2 linked regions of the Nothobranchius furzeri genome follow. The protein of the gene in region 1 interacts with the protein of each later gene in a biochemical or structural test. Links are inferred from orthologs where the notes say so. Each region holds a gene or a part of one and is shown on either strand. Other genes may lie near its edges.

Region 1 (4,230 bases):
GCAAGTTTCACTAAATGCCTTCAAAACCAAACTGACAGCTTCAGAGATTGCATTAGTAACTTGTAACTGCTTCTAATGACTGAGTGTTTTATCATTGTCATGACGTTGTAACTGTTTGTATTTTTGCTGCCTCTTGGCCAGGTTCTTAACCTCAATGGGTCTCTATCCTGGTTAAATAAAGGTTTAAAAAATCTTTTAAATCTTCCTTTCATTAACTAGAGCACATAACCTAAAACTCTTAGCTGATGAGGTTCAGCAGCGAGAAACTCAACAATGAACACCTGGCAGGAAAAAAACCAAACTAAACAAAAACTTTGTAATTCCACAACAACCCTAACCTGCAGGCACATTTAAAACATCTGATATATATATATATATATATATATATATATATATATATATATATATATATATATATATATATATATATATATATATATATATATATAAACACATGTAGAATTGTGAGATAAATTGTGAATTATTTTAATTAAAACAACAACGTAAATATATATTTACGTTGTTGTTTTAATTAAAATAATTCACAATTTATCTCACAATTCTACATGTGTTTATATATATATATATATATATACATATATATATATATATATATATATATATATATATATATATATATATATATATATATATATATATATATATATATATATAACACATGTAGAATTGTGAGATAAATTGTGAATTATTTTAATTAAAACAACAACGTAAATATATATTTACAGAAAAAAATGAGAAGGTTGCCAATGAATCTTGTATTTTGCTACTTTTGAAGGGTTCATTATTCTGTAATTTTAAATGTAAGCCAGTCCACAAATGTCTGAATATCACCTCAGGTCAGGATTTTATGGTTAACGCTTCAGTGTCATCAATCCTAACTGAAGTCTGAAATAAGGTGTGTGCACCCTGGAGTCCGTGGTGAATGGATGACTCTCCAAGTGTTCGCTACTCAAGCGGGAGTTTGAATTTGGAGTCCAGCTGTGGGTTCTTAGGCTGAAAGGTCAAGCTTCTCATGGTTGCTGTTCTGACGCGTTCAGTGGAAACCGGTGGTCATAATGTTATGGATAATTGGAGTAAATGAACTATACAAACAGACCAGCAGGGGGCGATGTCAAAGGGAAAGTCGCGCTTCACGTAGTTTGTCCCTGTAGGGCCGCCGTAGCGCTGAAAAATACAAACGCCTTTTCCATCGTTTTAAAGGTGAGAACAACTTAACAGGTAAAGATTCCAGTTAAACACCTCAGATGAACCCGCTCACGCGCCTTTAGCTGACCGCGTCTTCAGGAGGAAAGCTGCAAAAGTCTGTCCTCATTTATTTCATTTCTGCTCGTCGGAGGCGGAAATGATTCGTTATGAGGATTTTAGAGACACGGTTATTAACTTTATCTTTACTTCCTGTGAGGCTCTGGAGCCTCAGCAGGACGCAGCTCCAGGTCACGGGCAGGCTCGTGTCCGGAGAGGTGGAGGTGTTTCTGCGGACCCTGGAGCTGCCTGAGCCCCGGAGGACTGGCTCGTTATCCGGACTCCTGCAGAAGGACAGGTGGGTAGGGACGAGCTTCCGGTTCGGTCCTGGCTGCAGGCTTTCCGCGGGGTCTAAAAAGTCCTAACAGCGTTGAATTTAGGAATTTGGAAATGATTCCTTAAAAGGTCTAAAATGAGTGCGGAACGTAAATGACCCGTACCGTGTTTGTCCTCTAGAGTTTCATTTGTCAACCACCATCATTTTTATATTACACCTTATTGTTTTATAACGTAGCATAAATAGAGTGGCGGAACCAATAATAGAGAACCGCCTCGGGTCTAAATACTCCGAACACGTGACGTATTCAGCTCCCGCGCTACAGCAGCGATCCAAAACGGTAAACACACACCGTGTGTGTGTGTGTGTGTGTGCGCGTGCGCGTGGACCACACAGACCTCCAGCAGAGGAGGAACATAGAACATCTCAGCTCATGAGAAAGGCTGACTGACGCCTAGGGCGGGTTCCAGAACTCTGGACCTCTTTGGGACTGAGTGGAAACACTCGTAGGTCCCAGGGCCGGATTAACACTTTGTTACCCTGGGCAACAATATTCAAGGGCCCCATCATAACAACCCAAGAATCACCACAATATGGTCACATACAGAATATTTTACTGTAATATGCAGTAAATATACTCAATACTTGAATGCCTGACATCACGTAACCCGCTCAGGGTAACCTTTGACCCACCTCGTGTGGACTGACCAATGAGGAGAGGGTCTTAACTTGAGGCCCTCTCTTCTGGTCCAAGCTCTTTGACATTAAGTTTTCCACCATAGTTCTCCTCTCGAACGGATACTGGAGAAGAGACCGAACTGAATTCAGTGGCTGCTGAGATCCGGTATCCATGCTGGTTGTAGTCACCGGCGGCGTCCATGTTACATCTGCGTCACGACCAAAAACGTGCTGGAGTAGTCGAGACTCTCCGAGTTCTACCGAATACCAACGAAAGCCTTTGGCGGTAGCTCTATCGCCCATCATGCTTCTGAATCGACGTCGACGCTGATTGGATACATTCCCATTCCTACCGTTTGATTTTCTTGTCAGCAATTGGCCGGCAGCTTCCGTGCTGTTTGGGCGATTGAAACACAGCCTACAGCCTTTCTGTCGCCTCCACCGCTCGGCAGAGAGCTTCTCACCAATATAGATATATACATATATGATTTGTTTTTGTTACAAATCACACAATTAACTTAGAATATGTGATTATTGTTAATTTTATTTATTTTTTTTTAATTAAAATTAAAAACACTGGGGAAAACTGGGAGGGCGGCGCCCTATCACCCTCTACTGGCCAGCCGCCACTGAAAGCAGGAGATTACAGATACAGTATTTTGCTCTTGCCCTTGCTGCCCTGGGCCCTTTAGAGTTCATGGGCCCCTGGGCAATTGCCCAGTTGCCCATATGGTTAATCCGGCCTTGGTAGGTCCCAAATATCAGAAAAAAGTGTTAAAATGTCCCGATGTGCCACTGCAGGTCACATGACTGATCCCGGGTCACGTTATGAGTGGAGCAGGCGCGTCTCCTTTCAGCAACATTAACTAGAAAACAAACGTTTGGGTCGTTTAGCTAAAGTACGCAGCAGCTAAATGCATCAGCAGGAATAGCAGCAGTTTCACCAGCACCTGGTCGTGCAGGGCGGCATCTTAAGAGCTGGAACATGGAACGTCTCTGACTGCAACCAAGTCAACCCGAGTCCATCACCTTCCCAAGCCCTGGAGGAGTGTGAGGATGGAGGCTGATGACAGCAGACCTGGCTGCTGTTATAAAAGCAGTTCAGCAGGTTGTTGTTAACTGCTGTTACTGACATGAAGTCAGCACTAATGAAGCTGCTTTATTCATGTTTACATGTTGGGCCTTTACTGTTTGCACTGCAGCTTTGCTGGAATAAAGTATAATATCAATAAATATAATAAAATAATATAAAGAACACAACCTTTAAGTACTTTGTTATCCTCTCTTCTCGCCATCGTTAAAGTAGTAGTATGAATAAGTACTTCATGGTACCCAGCCCCACTGATGCTGTTATAGACATGTGTTACGTTTAGGGCTGCAACTAACGATTATTTTCATAATCGATTAATCTGTCGATTATTTTTTCGATTAATCGATTATCGGTTTGTTACTGTTTAGCTATTTAACCTATACAAGTGATGGATGCATTTCAGTTAAGAAAAAAAAACATAAGAGAATTGTGCAGTTGACTGCAATCTATTTTATTGCACATGAACACAGTCAGCAGTAGAAAATGAGCTAAACAGTGCAAAATATCAGTCCAGAATAATTTTTTAGCATTAGCTGGAAGCCTGCTCCTTCCACCATGGATAGTGGCCTCATGTCTTTTACCAGCATGTTTAGAATAGAGTTTGTAAGTGGTATGCATTGCTGGGGGGTGAGTGTCTTCTTCCCCATGTAGTTGTCCATCGTTGCTTGTTTTTTTCTGCATAAGAAACACAAATAGACTGAAATAAGTACACATATAAAATAAAGCAGCACACACACTACAACACTAAATCAATGTTAAATTATTTGAATTAATTAACAATATACAGTGATCATTTATTTTGAGGGTTACGTTCTACAAAATAGCCCGCAACAGGAGATATTAAGAAAAAAAGTCTAATTTTTTTACTATTAAAAAGCTCAGAGTAAGAAGCTCATGAGGTTTTTACTTTGAGTCGGGAGTG
Region 2 (4,036 bases), on another chromosome or scaffold:
AGATAGATAGATAGATAGATAGATAGATAGATAGATAGATAGATAGATAGATAGATAGATGATATATAGATAGATAGATAGATAGATAGATAGATAGATAGATAGATAGATAGATAGATAGATGATATATAGATAGATAGATAGATAGATAGATAGATAGATAGATAGATAGATAGATAGATAGATAGATAGATAGATAGATAGATAGATAGATAGATAGATAGATAGATAGATGATAGATAGATAGATAGATAGATAGATAGATAGATAGATAGATAGATAGATAGATAGATAGATAGATAGATAGATAACAAATGAAATGTGTTTTGCATGCTCCAGTAAGACTATAATAGTGTTTCAGACACTCATCACTTACCACGTGCAGTCTGGGTATCGATCAGTACCTCTTCCTCACTCCCGTGAGTGCGTGCTTATTTGACTCCGTCCATCCGACAGGTGTGTACATCTCTCCTGCAAGTGCCCGAGTGAAAGATGCTTCTCCTGCTGGCCGGGACTGAGCAGGCAGCGTAGACAGGCAGTCACGTGACCAACATCTCGGAGACCATCCATACGGGAGGGGAGAGGTAATGACAAATGCGTGGACTGGATCCGAATTGGGTCAGACGGTCCTCGGAGTCCATCGGAACCAATGGGGAGCGTCAAACTGAGAATAGCCTTTCCCCCCAGCTAAAACAAATCAAAGGTTATCTGTGTGCACTCTGATAGCTCCTTCTTCTGTCCAATGAGGCGTTTGTGCTCCATTTCAATAGGTCCGTTTTACGTTAATCTGTGATTTATTTTATATGTTTTATTTGGCAACACATTGCAATTCAATGTAATTGCTACTCAGCGTTGTTTTGTGTCAAATTCATTTTTGCTCGAATATGGAAGTGTGAGTTCGTGAGGAAACATAATAAAAATAAGAACAAAGGCGATATATTTAAAACAAGCAAACTTGAAGCTGTTTCACAAAAGTCTAATCGGGGTATTTGGGGGTATTTCGGCTGTGAAATTAAAAGCCTGTTTTATTTTCTCGGGCGGACAGAATAGGCTTGATGTTAGACGACTACTGCAGGTGAAATATGCTGATTTTCACAAGTGTGTTTGAATCAATTGTGATTTTTTAAACATAATTTTCTACGTTTGAAATGCAGATTTCTGTTGTTTTCCAGTTTTGTTTGAAGGGCTGAGATATTCCTGCCAGACGGTGGCGCTGTTGTCAGTTGAGAGCAAGCAGTAGCTGCAGAAGAAACAGAGGAGAGTCGCAGAAGAAGAAAAAAGAAGAAGACGTTCCACTGAGAAGAGAACAATCTGTTTGCTCGTTACCAACCACTAAAGTAACGTTATTTGGGTACATTTTAAATCATTTAAAGTTTGAACCTCTTCGCGTGTGTTTGGTTTGATATTTTTGCGGCTCTCATAATGATTATCACGGTGAAGCCGCTTTCAGGACTGGAATGTAACATTCAGGTGAGTTAACGCATCATGATGCTAACTGCCGGTGTAGCCAGCACACCGATGGTTATTTATCATATTAGTTTGCAAGTAAAGGGAGAACATATATGCTTCTTTAGTCAGGAAATTAGACAAAACACACCATTCTATGTAGGTTATGTGGGGTTAAACCGGTTAAACATAAACATCTGAGACGAGTTTAAACGTTATCTCTACCGAAGCTGTCCTGCTAGTTAACACTAATGTCACAGGAGGCCTTAAAAATGCACGTTTTTATGCTTTATTGGTTGTATTTATTAAAGTGGAAGGTTGTGCGTGACTGTATGACTTGGACAAATGTTAGCTTGGAGTATGGTTGCTATGGTGATCGTAACAGGGAAATCACCCAGAACTTTAGTTTTTAAACCAAAGCATTCCGTTTTTAATTCGTAAACGTGCAGATTCCATTCAATTTCAACATTTGGAAATTAGATGTGTTTACTCATTTGTAAACACTTCGATCTTTTAAAGCACCGTCGCGTGACAATCAAAAGGTTGTATTTTAATAGCTGAGGTAAACTAAATTCCCAAATCATTGTGGCGTCTACCTTTGTCTTTAAGATGTGAAGAGTCTGATCTTGCGTAACTCAATCCCGTGTTACTACACACAGAAATAATTGATACGCTTTTAATTTCTTGTTTATAATGATTTTACAGATTTAAGTAGGTCTGGGGTTTGAGCCAACAGCGCACCACAGCCGAGACATTTTCTAATTTATGTAAATTAGGACAACGAAATCACGGTGAGCAAATTCAAAAGTTGTCATTTACATTTCTCACAAGCCTGATTTAAACTTTGCCCTTCAGAATAACATATTCATTGAAATTCGTTTCATTTTTGAGTCGGCAGCTTAAAGAATCTCATTATTCTTCCCTCTGGCTGAATCCAGTCTCATTAATGTTTGCTAGCGACTCGAGAAACCTGTCTATAATACCCTTCTCTGTTTCCTAAATAAACAGAAAATGTCATTACCAACAGTGAGTTTATTTAAAAAATGATACATGAAGTTGATGCAAAGTTAATTGCCTAAACTTTGTTACTGCGTCACTTTCGTCTCAGTTGCTTGTGCTTCTTTTACTTCCTCTCAGTGCTTCCTGTCCTTATATCCAAACTCACACAAAGAACCAGTCTTCTGTCTCTGCTTTTAACCATTTTCTGGTGTGAAAATGCAGCAAAAATTATAACAGGCTAGTAATTATTCTACATTATTTAATCCTGTACAAAAAACACAACTGTGGTGCAGTAATGAGTATAAGTTTGTATATTTAGCTGGATTAAAACACCACAAATAAATAATGCTTTTGCTTAAAGAGCAAATTGCAGGTTAGAGACTCAAATAAACCAATGTTTAGAGAAACATAATAGCAACTCGTTTTAAACTTTTTTTTACACATTCATAAATTATTTAGGCTTTTAGAGTCATTTTTGTGAGAGAGTTTTTTTTTTATTTCTTTGCCAAACCAAGTCAGCCGACGGGGTCCTGTTAGCTTAATCTAGAGAAAAATGTAGATCCTAATGTCGGCTCTGACACAGAGGAAACTTTAAATGTTTGTAATTATACTTATGATGGACCAAAAAAAAAAACAGCTGGCCCGCTGAGCCGCCTGTCTCTTCTGGTGGTCGGTTCTGACCTGGTTCTGACGGTGATCTGAGTTCCAGAAATCTGAATGTACTTTTTTAAACCCTGCCACGGGTCTCCAGAGCCCAGCGCAGACCTCCCTGTCTCTGTACCAACCGATTTGGGCTACAGAAGTCCCGTCTTTTCAGCTGCACAAAACGCCCTCAGGCATGTGAGATAGAGGCGTAGTTTCTCTTATCTGGAAACCCGTGGACTCGATGTCCAGAAAGGCTGGAGTTGGTACAGCCTTCACAAACTATAGTTTATCAACATGAACACAATCCAAAACTAGTAAACACACACGCTGACTGGATAACATGACCGCTCTACCCTAAAACTACCCACTCTCCACACAGAGCTGAGGCAGCGCCTAGCTTCTAACTCCCTTTGGTTACATCAGAGGTTCAGATTTAGAAAAAAAGAGCCTTTTTAGAAGCTTTGCTGAGAGAGGCCACTTTTTACTAGAAAACTGCTGTTTTTAAACCAAATATCCACAATAAGCATTTCAAAGAGTATGTTTGGACAGCATTTTATATGAATTAGAAAAAAATATGTTACCTGCAACTTGCTTTTTAAAGAGTTAGTCACCCCCTACAAGAAATTCACGTTACTCCCACTTCATCTTTGAAAAATGCAACAAATGCTGTTGCCTGGCAGACCGAGAGAGCGGAGCCGCTAACAAATAAACACAAACAGGCTCACAAAAGCATTGTGACATCAAAATGTACTAGCTAACGTCATTGCATACCTCTTAGCCAATAGCAGTGGCAGGTTTAAATTTAAATGTAGTGAAGAGGTTTTACCGGACGACGGCACAACACTGACAGTTTTAGTCAGAATATTTAAAGTCCAGGGGCCACGCACAACGGGGTTGGAAAACTGCGCAAGCAATTTTCCACGCAAACTTTGGAATTCATGAAAGA

The links.
Region 2: the proteins of sgta (region 1) and ubl4a form a complex in vitro, tested with the Homo sapiens proteins (3 studies listed by BioGRID, with this or other methods). The link is inferred for Nothobranchius furzeri from reciprocal best matches to the Homo sapiens genes SGTA and UBL4A.

What each region holds. Positions count from the first base shown.
Region 1 is NC_091748.1:79,890,822-79,895,051, forward strand, and holds the start of sgta (small glutamine-rich tetratricopeptide repeat-containing protein alpha), read left to right. Parts: upstream 1-1,421; 5' UTR 1,422-1,561; intron 1,562-3,738; exon of another isoform or gene 3,739-3,983; intron 3,984-4,230. UniProt on the Homo sapiens protein: Co-chaperone that binds misfolded and hydrophobic patches-containing client proteins in the cytosol. Mediates their targeting to the endoplasmic reticulum but also regulates their sorting to the proteasome when targeting fails.
Region 2 is NC_091757.1:40,380,202-40,384,237, reverse strand, and holds the start of ubl4a (ubiquitin-like protein 4A), read left to right. Parts: upstream 1-1,232; 5' UTR 1,233-1,422; coding exon 1,423-1,470; intron 1,471-4,036. UniProt on the Homo sapiens protein: As part of a cytosolic protein quality control complex, the BAG6/BAT3 complex, maintains misfolded and hydrophobic patches-containing proteins in a soluble state and participates in their proper delivery to the endoplasmic reticulum or alternatively can promote their sorting to the proteasome where they undergo degradation.